Linked DNA regions of Arabidopsis thaliana. The protein of the gene in region 1 purifies or fractionates together with the protein of each later gene. This does not show direct contact. Each region holds a gene or a part of one and is shown on either strand. Other genes may lie near its edges. The genes, in order: DRM3 and NRPE7.

Region 1 (6,961 bases):
AGGATTAGATATCCTGGAGTGGAGGAGATATATGAAGTGAACTTTTTGTTATGTTTACGTTTGTGTCTTGCAGCAACACAACACTGAGCTAGTGGTTGGTATGGTGAGGCAACAATTTAAGAAACACATGAATGAGACAGACCCTGAGAAGATTCAGAAGCTTAAAGATGAGTGAGTTTTCTTTTTTTCCCCAATCTCTACTGAATACGATAACTTAAAACCTTATAATTAGATCAGATGTAAAACTTGTTCGTTGAGGCATGTTTCTGCAAAAGATGATGTTTCACACAAACACACACATATACAGCTGCTTGAGATCATATATTACAGAATACTCTTGGGATAAGTATGTTGTATACATCTATTTGAAAAGTTTGGAAAGACTCAAACTTCTCTGGTACTGTATATGTAGTGCTGCTCGGGGACTCATCAATCACATGTTGTTTGAGTCAGCGAAGCTGACAGGAGGCAAGGTTAGCCAGAGATCCTGATGCAGTCTGGTTGCAGACTCTCCCATTGTTATTCTCTCTCTATCTCTCTAGTCAATGCTTGTAGGCTAACAATGCAACTAAGTTGGCTTGAATAATAGACTTGATCGAGAAGCCTCAGTGACTCAACATTGAGGATTTTCCTGTGCAATCAATCAAGTGGTTCTCTATTTCAAATCTAATCATACAGTTTTTTTTTTACTCTGGCTTAGATTTGTTTATATTTTGGATTAGACACTTCAGAAGTTCAGATCATTTCCAGTTACTTTTGACGTAAGATGAGTATGAATTATGCAATCAACAACATTGAGCTAAAAAAAGTGCTAATATTATACATAATTGTGAACAGTACACAACAACATTGACCGCATGATTCACTGCTTATCTCTCCGAGAAGTAACATAGCAAAAAAATAAAAAAGACGATATTCCACGCTTCTATGAAGATTATGGTACAGACTGATTCATTAAAGCATCAACTGCAAAACAAGAAAAACAGTTCCGTAATTGAAAGTCTCCACGATAAAGAAAATGGAAGACTCCTTCTGAGATTAGACAAGTCTCCAGGTTCTTGAGGACGTAAAGGCTCTTGGTCAACTTCACTACATCATATCTCTGACACGTTTCGTGACACGAGCAAACTCGTTAAACAACGTATAATCAAATTCACAGGCTTCACTATTTGAGATTTCTTTAGAGAGATCAAGTGGTGTTGATGGGTTCTGGCAAATGACAAAGTCAAATCCTCCAAATCTCTGCATCAGAGTCTCCAGCCTCTTTGCCGTTAAGCTTTTGATTTCTTCAATTTGCACTAGCTCACCGGTTTGTCCCGAAGTCTGCCACCATCTTTTCAGTATGTTACGGCTCAATCCACAGGACTCTACAGAGACTACGCCTTTTAGATGGATTCCAAGACGGTCCAATGCAATTTCCGCACCACCAATCCCGCTAAAGAGTGATAAAACTGTTAAACCTTGGGGAAACATAGACTTGAGTACAGAGAGATGGTAACCCAATGTGTCTGTTTGGAAGCAGTAATCAAACAACTTCAATCTTTCAGCCAACCTTCCACCACCGATGTTTGTGTGGTTCATTGGATATCCCATAATGCACTCTAAATGTTCAGGCTCCAAGGGTGAGAGGATGTTTGGTGCTATCCAAATGAGATTGGAGGTGTGACAATGTCGAAGTATTAAAGTCTGGTCCTGTTGAGTAGGCTTTCCCTTGCATTCAGCTATACGGCGACCAATTCGTTCACAGAGAAGAGTTGCATCTTTCATATTAGAACACGTGCCGCTATTGAAATGCTTTCTGATATCCCATTGTGGCCACCAACTCCTCATGTGTGGCATTGCGTCTTGTATAGTTAATCGAGGGTTCGGGAGGGTATTAAACCTGTTAACAGTGGGAAGATTGTGCAGGTACCCTTCTGTCCTACGGAGCGCTGAACACAACCGAGTATCTACATGTTCGGGGTGAATTCCGAACAAGAAACCCGAGATCTTCGACCACCAGCTAGGAGAAAGTTCACCTAACTGTCCATAGAAGAAATAAGGTCGTCTGGCTACTTTTGGACCAAGACTCTGGGACAAACGTGGCTGCATTACACTGGGAAATTCATATGTGTTATCTTTCCACTCATCTTGCATCCATGGGGTTTCCATAAACGAACTTGAGTCACCCATATCTTCGGGCCTTAACCGTTTTCCTCTGTCATCGTAGCCAGTGTATTCTTCTGGATAGGCATTCTCATCCTCATCTTTTGGTCGCTTACCTCTCGAGGTCTCTCCCACATTGTCAGTGGCAGGGAAAGGAAAAGACTCAATACCAGGATCTGGTTTTATATTAGCAGTGCCACTCGACGAACCCCCACCACCATCCTCTTTCTGAGCACCAACCCCAACAAATCTCCAACTCTTTGAAAGACATGTACGATTCACTGCAGGAGCAGCCGCTGAAACTTTCTACAGTGACACCAAATATCATTGAGTTAAACTCCAACAATATCTTAGTTTAATTAAGAGAAGAGTGTGAGATGGTTTAGGTGCAGTAGCAGCAGCAAAAGCTCTAGTTTCAGCACTTCACTTTACAAGTGCATCATTGGAGGTCGAGTAAAAATTAATTAAAAACATTAGTGTACATACCTTTTCTATATCTTCAAGGTCATCATGGCATTCCGCAGGAAATTCACCAGTAACAATTGACTCAGCAAGGACAGAAATCTGACCTTTTGTACCTGAAGAGGTGCAAAATAGATTATATACCAGTACAACAGGACGGGCTGCAAAACAAATGATAGGATTTCTTTCACCCTAAAAGTATCATAATCACCCCCGACAACATAAACAAGATACGTTTCATGTCTACATTTTTTTCTTTCAGACATATAACAGTCATGGGATGAACAGATAAGTGCCTCAGTTGCTCACCTATCTTCTCAATTGCCATTGAAATTTCATCATTAGAGAATCCCATTTCCAGTAAACGCAAAGTCTTGTCCATTGTTTCAAACAATTGTTCATTGGGAACCTGAATTTAAAACACAAAACAAAGGTTAGAGGTAATAAAGGTAATAACAACATGAACAACACAGAATGAACACAAAAGAAAGGTAGTGGAATCTACAAAAGCATTGACAATAAAATCAACAGCTAATGTCAAAAAAGCACCAAAGACCTCAGGTCCTCGAGCAGTAACTGGAGTGACATCTTCATCTTCTTCATTGATCTCAGCACCATCAAGTGAATCTTCGGATTCCTCCGCATACTTTTCAGCTAATTGAGCAGCAACAATGAAGTCCACCATCTCATCAATTGGTGTGTCTTTACCTATCACACAGAACAAACAATCATGAAGAAAGGATTTGGGGATAGGCCAAATGATAGCTGCTATCTGCATGCTAAGTTTCTATATAGCTTTGAATAGTATAAGTATCAATTTTTTAGAAACTATTTACAAGTTTCTAATACGGTCACAGGGAATGGATTTTCCACTTTAACATTAATAAACAACAGCTTCATAAATGTTATTTCTCTTTTCAGAGAGTTATAATATACTATAAGCCTCCTTAGTTTGCCTATATTAAATGTCATACAATCAGAAGTTCCAGTATGAAGAGATGGTTAATCTATAAGAAGACAAAGAAAAAATATCGTGCAATAGTGAGAAATTGGTCTTGCAATGTACACGAGGTCTAATCACTCAAAAAATAACCTGAAAAGAAGAAATTCTAATATGTTAAACCATGAATAGACACGGACAAAAAGGTGTAACTTTGTAACATGTTTGAATTTTGAATGCAAAGCCAAAGACATTGTGAATACATTACCAAGCCTATCCAGTGCAAAGTCAACAAGATTTTCTGGAAACTTCATAGTTAGTAACGCAATCCTTATACGGTCAGTTTCGTATTCAATATCAGGTTCCTGTCAAAGAAAAGCAAGAAACATTAAGAAATTACACAGAATGAAAGACAAGACATGTGGGATCACACATTATGCGCTTTACCGGTTTGGGTTCCATTAGCCCATGAAAGCTAGGTCCAGGAGGTTCTGTTTCAGTACTCTTAGTGAGAATCTCTAATAGCAACTCAAAATCATCTTGACCTGGATGCGAAGAGGCAAACTCAGTAATCATATATACCCCAAATGAAAGTTAGCATGCATGGTAGTTTTTTACAGGAAACTGAAGAATACCATTTTCGTCAATTGCTTTCTGAACAAGAGTTGGGCAAAATCCCATCTCAATCAGCAATGACTTAACATTACTTCCAGAAGAACTAGCAGCATTGTCCTGCACATCAAGTATGAAACAATAAGAACCTTTCTAAACCACTACTTGTTCTAAACAGTAAAATGTAGACACAGTGGATGTTTAAGAATCTTAGCCACTTATGTCCTTTATGGTATAGAAAGGGTAACAAAACATACACCAATCTGCTGAGGGAAAGAGGTGTCGCAGGGCAAATCAAAGTCCAAGGTCTCTGGTTTTGGAAACAGTATCTGCTCATTCCTTTCATGATTAGAGGAACCTCCACTTCCATTTCGTCTACGCATATCAGCCTGCAAGATTCCAGAAAAACTTATGAAAAACATGCAACACAAAAAACAAAAGATAACATTCCCAAAGTAGCCAAATTCCATACCATTTGAATTAAAATTCACACACAAAATCTCACATGAAAGCCCTGCAGATAGATACCAGAGAGATTATGTCAGTGTCCCCAAATAACACAAAAGATGAACTTTAAATGGAAAAGAATTAACCTCATTGATGTTGATTTTATCCCATAAACGGCAAGGGAGAAGATGGAATCAATAAAGCCCCAAAAATAGAACACTCCTCGAACTAAGAGATGAAACCAACCACGAGTGACACTTAAAAAAGCAATTCCGAAAAATCACACAAATTCCAGAGATTGCGACAAAGAGAGCGAGAGAGAGGAAGACGGTGCATGCCTGTGCAGTGGTCCGCGTCTCACCCAATCGAGCCCAGTGCGGAGGAGGAGAAGCTAAAAAGTTATGAAGTTGATCGCAATGTTGCGCGCCGCGTGGACTACACTGCCGAGACTAATTCGGAATTTTATTGATTCCCTTTGAGCAGTCCGGTAGATCGAGCGCGTGAGGAAAAAACGAACGGTCCAGATCATAGAGTTTGGAACTTCGACCAACTTTCTATTACAACTATGTTGTAGTTCTGTTTTAATATTTCAAGTTTTTAGAATTTTAAATTTATGTTTCAGATGCTAAAATTTGTATACACTAAAAACATCATTTACCAAAACTTGATGAAAAACGAAAGAAACTACTCTCAATTCCCAAGCTTTGAGAAAGATTAAATTTTGCAAAGATAATTAATAGATTTCGAGCTATTTCTCGACAAAGATTATGTTTTTTTGGCCCAGTTTTGTTTAGTTTGTAACAAATTGGAGCACCGAGGTTATGTGACCCAAATGTACGTAGACTAGTCGAGGCCAATGTATATATAGTACTACTATTGTACCTGAAAGATGATCAAACAAATTAATAAGTTGAGTGATTGGTTCTGTTAATGCAAGATTTTTTTTACTAATCTTCATCAAAGAACATGGCAAAATAAACAAAGCAAGAACTACGCCTGAAACAATCTATAGATTTTGTAAATGGACTAATTAATGACATGGTTTCTTCCTTTGCTTCGTGCATGGTGTAGGTTGCTAGATTTGCACTGAATTAATGACATGGTTTACATTTCTGCTTTATAGATTCAACGTTGTCGTCTTTGTGAATTCCGTCTAGATTGACGCTCATCAGATAAACCCTATATTTCAAAATCATGATCGCATGAAACTCCTTCACTTGTTTCTTCTATGCTTTGTTGCCTGGTTGGAATATTGAGAGAAAGAAGAAATAAGGTAAGAGGTACGAGATAATATCTCTTCTCCTTAGAGACAACAACAGAACAAAACAGAAAATGTTTTATTGAACTGAAACTTGTTAATATTTACATGACAATACAATATTAAGTTTATATAAAAAAAAAAACAAATAGACACAACAACCCAATTAGTTGTGTCTCTTTTTACTTGTGCCCTTTGAGTGAAACAACACAAACTTACAACCGTTAGCTGAAAACTCAATTACGGACCAACACTCCCCCTTAATTGAGCTTCGCTCTTCCACTTAGCTCCCTTCTCAGTTTGTCACAACTTTCGGCTTCAAACTCTTTAGTAGTAGCATCACACTTCCCCCAAATAGTCTTACCCAATTCGTAACACTTCTTATCATGATCTTTAGTAAAGTCACCACTTTTCTTTTTCTCAATCTACTTTCTCAAATTTCTCTCTCGTTTCAACAAATCCGATAGTGAAGAAGAAATCTCAGCCTTTGTTTACTCCATCGACGGCGAAGAAATCACCGGAGATGCGACTCCCAACGGTTTCTTTGAAGTGGATGCGACATCCGACGATTTCTTCGCCGTTGAGAAAAAGAAAAGTGGTGACTAAACTAAAAATCATGATAAGAAGTGTTACGAATTGGCTAAGACTGTTTGGGGAAGTGATGGTGATGCTGCTACTCTTGTGAAGCCAGAGAGTTTGAAGCATGCTTCTGTTTTTGCCTGGCCGTAACCCTAGAGAGCACCTCCTCTGCCAAATCCAGAGGAAGATCCGAAATATCTTCGTCATTGTTTCAATAAATAGTAATTAGGGTTTTACTTCCACACCTTTAGTCTTTTTTATAAAGGAATTAGTTATAAATTAGGTTACCGCCTTTGTGTCCGGGCCCAAGGAGACTACACAACGGGCCTCGATAAGAAAACCCTCATTTGTGAACGATGACAACATAGGATCATAACTATCGTTTCATAGGCAATTCTATAAGCCATGTGTGTAGTTCACTCAAAATATGTATGAACACTTTGTCTTTATCAAAACAGTGCGACTTTTAACAAGATAAAACATGAAACGATGTAAACATGTAAATTCTTCAAATGTGA
Region 2 (3,977 bases), on another chromosome or scaffold:
TAATTCTTTAAAACAATCAAATTTCATCTATATTTATTATTTATTGTTGAAACTAAGAAACTAGCGGAGATTTGTAAAATATTTATTGAAAAAATGTTAATTCTTATTTTTTTTCAATGTAAATTCTTATTTTGAGTTAGTTAGTTTTTTTTTTTGCCAAATACAAAACACTTAGTAAATTCAAAGATAAGAATCTTATGTAAAGAAACAGTAAAAAAGAGATTAGAAGAAATCATGACCTTCCATCTTTCTCTTTTTTTATGACATGTGTTAATCAATTGATGAGATTTTGATACATGTAAAGAACTTCTTCTAATTAGATTTTGATCTATGCTAACATAAAAATGAAAAATACAATTTTTTGACAAAAAAAGTAAAACGTTTATATTAAAGTATATAGTTAAAAAGGATACACTTCAATGAAAATAAGAAAATTACATAAAAAAGGGAAAACCTTATTAAAAAGGGGAAAAGGTTATTAAGTAAAACTTTGTTTCTTAAAATGAGTAATTAACATAATCACATTAGCCGTTTCTTTAGGTGTCGAAGATGTTGTATGGAGGAAGAGACAACAGAGCATTTATTTTTCAACTGTACCTATGCGAAAGCTGTTTGGCGAGGCTCTGGAATATCAAACAGGTTACTCTATGACCCACGGACCCCATGGGAAGAAAAGTTGAGAGAGATCCTCAAGTGTAACACGGGGACAAGAACGCCACATCTTAAGCACTTACCTCTTTGGATCTTGTGGAGACTATGGATATCACGAAACAACCTCACCTTTCAACAAAGGAACTTTTCATGGCGAAAGGTAATACGACAAGCTCGAAGTGATGCAAAGGAATGGCATGATCAAGATGAAAGAAGTTTGGGAATGACGAACCCTCCGCAATTTCAGAACGTTGGTTTTCAAGGCGAATATCATTGGATGAAGCCGAATACAAACTGGATCAAATGCAACTATGATGGTAGCTTTATCAACGGACAACCGGCTAGTGCAGGATAGGTGATTAGAGACGACAGAGGCACCTTTAGAGGTGCAGGTCAAGCTAAAGGAAGACATGTAAACACAGCTATGGAAAGCGAATTTCAGGCACTAATTCTTGCAATGCAAAGCTGTTGGATTAAGGGATATACAAGAGTATGTTTTGAAGGCGATAACAAAACAGTGGTGGAACTGCTTCATGGTCGGCAACACAATTTCAATATTTTTAATTGGATTAGGGAAGCACGCATTTGGAGAGACAAGTTTAATGACTGCCAGTTTACTTGGGTTCGAAGAGATCACAACAAAGCGGCGGATATCTTAGCGAAACATAGAATACCATCTGATGCTTTGTCGCATTTTTACAACCTCATTCCTAATGTAATCACAAACGCATTATACCGGGATTTTAATCCCTATTTAATATGAGAAGCATGTTTGAGTAAAAAAAAAACATAATCACAACACGTGACAGACGACCAGATTTCAATGGAGATATTTTTTTAATCTAATTAGATTAAATAATTAAAAGGAAATATATATTAATTTGTATTTTTCTATCAATTTAGAGAAGAAAAAGTATATTTTCGAATATGATTAAAAAGTTTAATCTAATTTTAAATATTTGAGAATCAAATTTTCAAAGTTTTTAAATATATGAAATTAGTAATCTTAAAATGAAAAATTAATTAGTTTCTGAAAATATATTTAAAAGAAAATAGAGAAAAAGTGAATACTAATGGGCCAATAATAATATAGTCTCAGTAATAATGGGTCTTTTCAGCCCATCGACATGTAAACAAACCAAAATTGAAAGTCTCCGAGTGTTACTTCTCAGTCGATAGAGAGTTTGAAACAACAAAACAAACTCTCGCTTCTCGCATCGTTGATTCTCCAAAACCAGTTTTCACTCTCTATTGCCGATTCTCGTTTCGTTTGATATCTTAGGAATCTATAAACAAAGGCATGGGTTCAGTATTCTGTTGATTTTCTCAATCAATTTCTCAGCTATTTTCAGTCTTAAGGTCTTGGTCCATGGGTTGCTCGAGAAAATGTGGAAAAAGTGATGGTCTGAGTACTTAATCGTAAAATGCAAATACAAAGCTTTTGTGGGTTTATTAAAGTTGGTAACTTTTGATAGAATTTTGAGGACTCTTACTTGTTTACTTACATGCCTGCGTAGTGTTTGTTTAAATGCCTGTGAGAAATACTTTTTAGTGAAAAGCTCTTTTTTTTTTTTTGTTTAGTGTTCGTTTTAGTAGATATGTAATGTGAAACTAATTTCTGAATCTCTGTTTTGAGTACTGTAGAGTTATGAAATTGGTATTTTGCTAATGCATGTCTACATTGTGTCCAGATTCTTATAAAAACAGAAACTTTGATCTTATCTTATGGATGAATTACTTTAGGTTACTGATGATGATTTGTATAACCTAGATGTTCGTTTCAGAGAAAAACCTGGAAATTACTGTCTACTTCCTTTTCCTTTCTCTGTGATCTTTCAGTTTTGATTTTTTCCAGAGTCTTTCTCATATCTTTCCTTTGAGAAGAATGTGATGATAGTAAAGTATTTCTATTCTCTGGATCAATGATGATAGCTATGTGACATTGCTTTGATTTGGTTTTGAAGGTTGAACAATGTTTCTCAAAGTCCAATTACCATGGAACGTGATGATTCCAGCTGAAAACATGGATGCCAAAGGGCTGATGTTGAAGAGAGCTATACTAGTAGAGTTACTAGAGGCGTTTGCTTCCAAGAAAGCAACCAAGGAGCTTGGCTACTACGTGGCAGTCACAACTTTGGACAAGATTGGAGAAGGCAAAATCAGGGAGCACACCGGTGAAGTTTTGTTCCCGGTAATGTTCAGCGGAATGACTTTCAAGATCTTCAAAGGAGAGATAATTCACGGTGTGGTGCACAAGGTGTTGAAGCACGGTGTCTTCATGAGGTGTGGTCCAATCGAGAATGTTTACCTCTCCTACACGAAGATGCCGGATTACAAGTATATCCCTGGAGAGAACCCGATCTTCATGAATGAGAAGACGTCTAGGATTCAGGTTGAGACTACAGTGAGGGTTGTTGTGATTGGGATAAAGTGGATGGAAGTAGAGAGGGAGTTTCAGGCGTTGGCTAGCTTGGAAGGTGACTATCTTGGACCATTATCTGAAGAGTGATCTGCTTGATCTCTTCATGTGATGGCGTTTTTGGGCAATCTCTTATGTCTATATAACTCGGCTTTAGTTCATGTTTGGTAGTAACTAGTAACTACTCTCTAGCTGTGCAAATAATGAAAACATTGATCTTTGAATGTAATGAAATCCTTCACCTTCAAGAGGAAAGATTGGTCTAATTTAGGTTTTTTGTATTGGTAATGATTTTTGCTTGCTTGTGAGTCTCTTCCATATGATAAGCTCAGATTGGAATTAGACTCTGAAATCGTAGTCAAACCGGATATATAAGAAATATTTCAAACCAAAGTTAACCGAACCAATCTCAGAGCACGATTATGGATTAATCATCACTCATCACCATCGAGAAATCTCTAGTTTCAACAGGTCTCCAGATTTCGAAGCGGCGTATGAGTTTTTTTTTGCCAGTGACTGTTTCTGCGCCGATTGAAGCGGTGCCGCTTTGAATATTGCTACTTTTGCTCGCTATGTCAATTCAAAGTCTAACAGCCCAACCCAATAATCGTTGAGTTTGGGAAGACGAAAGAAAGCCCACGAGAATCACATGAGAATGTGATTGCTTGGCAGGTCTAAAACCCTAAATAAAAAATTTTCAATGTTTGGATTTGTGGATGACACAGGATTGGTTAATACTCGTTCTTGGCCCGACTCTCCTTTCCTTCGGTAATCGAATAGTAATATTTATTTAGTTAATATCTTTAGCTAATAGCCAACAATTTTATTTCGATAAAAAGAAGTATCTGAAAAACACTTTGATAACAATTAGATAGTAATTGCATGTATTTTATCAAACTATTTTTGG

The links.
Region 2: the proteins of DRM3 (region 1) and NRPE7 purify together in Arabidopsis thaliana (affinity purification with mass spectrometry, with the first as the bait; one study listed by BioGRID). This does not show direct contact.

What each region holds. Positions count from the first base shown.
Region 1 is NC_003074.8:5,908,205-5,915,165, forward strand, and holds DRM3 (S-adenosyl-L-methionine-dependent methyltransferases superfamily protein), read right to left. Parts: upstream 5,142-6,961; 5' UTR 4,945-5,141; exon of another isoform or gene 4,835-4,944; 5' UTR 4,753-4,834; intron 4,674-4,752; 5' UTR 4,635-4,673; coding exon 4,632-4,634; intron 4,549-4,631; coding exon 4,417-4,548; intron 4,280-4,416; coding exon 4,183-4,279; intron 4,093-4,182; coding exon 3,995-4,092; intron 3,913-3,994; coding exon 3,816-3,912; intron 3,798-3,815; exon of another isoform or gene 3,386-3,797; coding exon of another isoform or gene 3,316-3,385; coding exon 3,164-3,315; intron 3,017-3,163; coding exon 2,917-3,016; intron 2,724-2,916; coding exon 2,632-2,723; intron 2,452-2,631; coding exon 1,090-2,451; 3' UTR 730-1,089; downstream 1-729. Other genes in the region: EMB2786 (COMPLEX 1 LYR-like protein), read left to right, coding at 74-171, 413-491. UniProt on the Arabidopsis thaliana protein: Catalytically inactive DNA methyltransferase that acts as regulatory factor for DRM2-mediated DNA methylation. Required for maintenance of non-CpG DNA methylation.
Region 2 is NC_003075.7:8,405,683-8,409,659, reverse strand, and holds NRPE7 (RNA polymerase Rpb7-like, N-terminal domain-containing protein), read left to right. Parts: upstream 1-1,768; 5' UTR 1,769-1,949; exon of another isoform or gene 1,950-2,108; intron 2,109-2,615; 5' UTR 2,616-2,623; coding exon 2,624-3,160; 3' UTR 3,161-3,413; downstream 3,414-3,977. UniProt on the Arabidopsis thaliana protein: DNA-dependent RNA polymerase catalyzes the transcription of DNA into RNA using the four ribonucleoside triphosphates as substrates.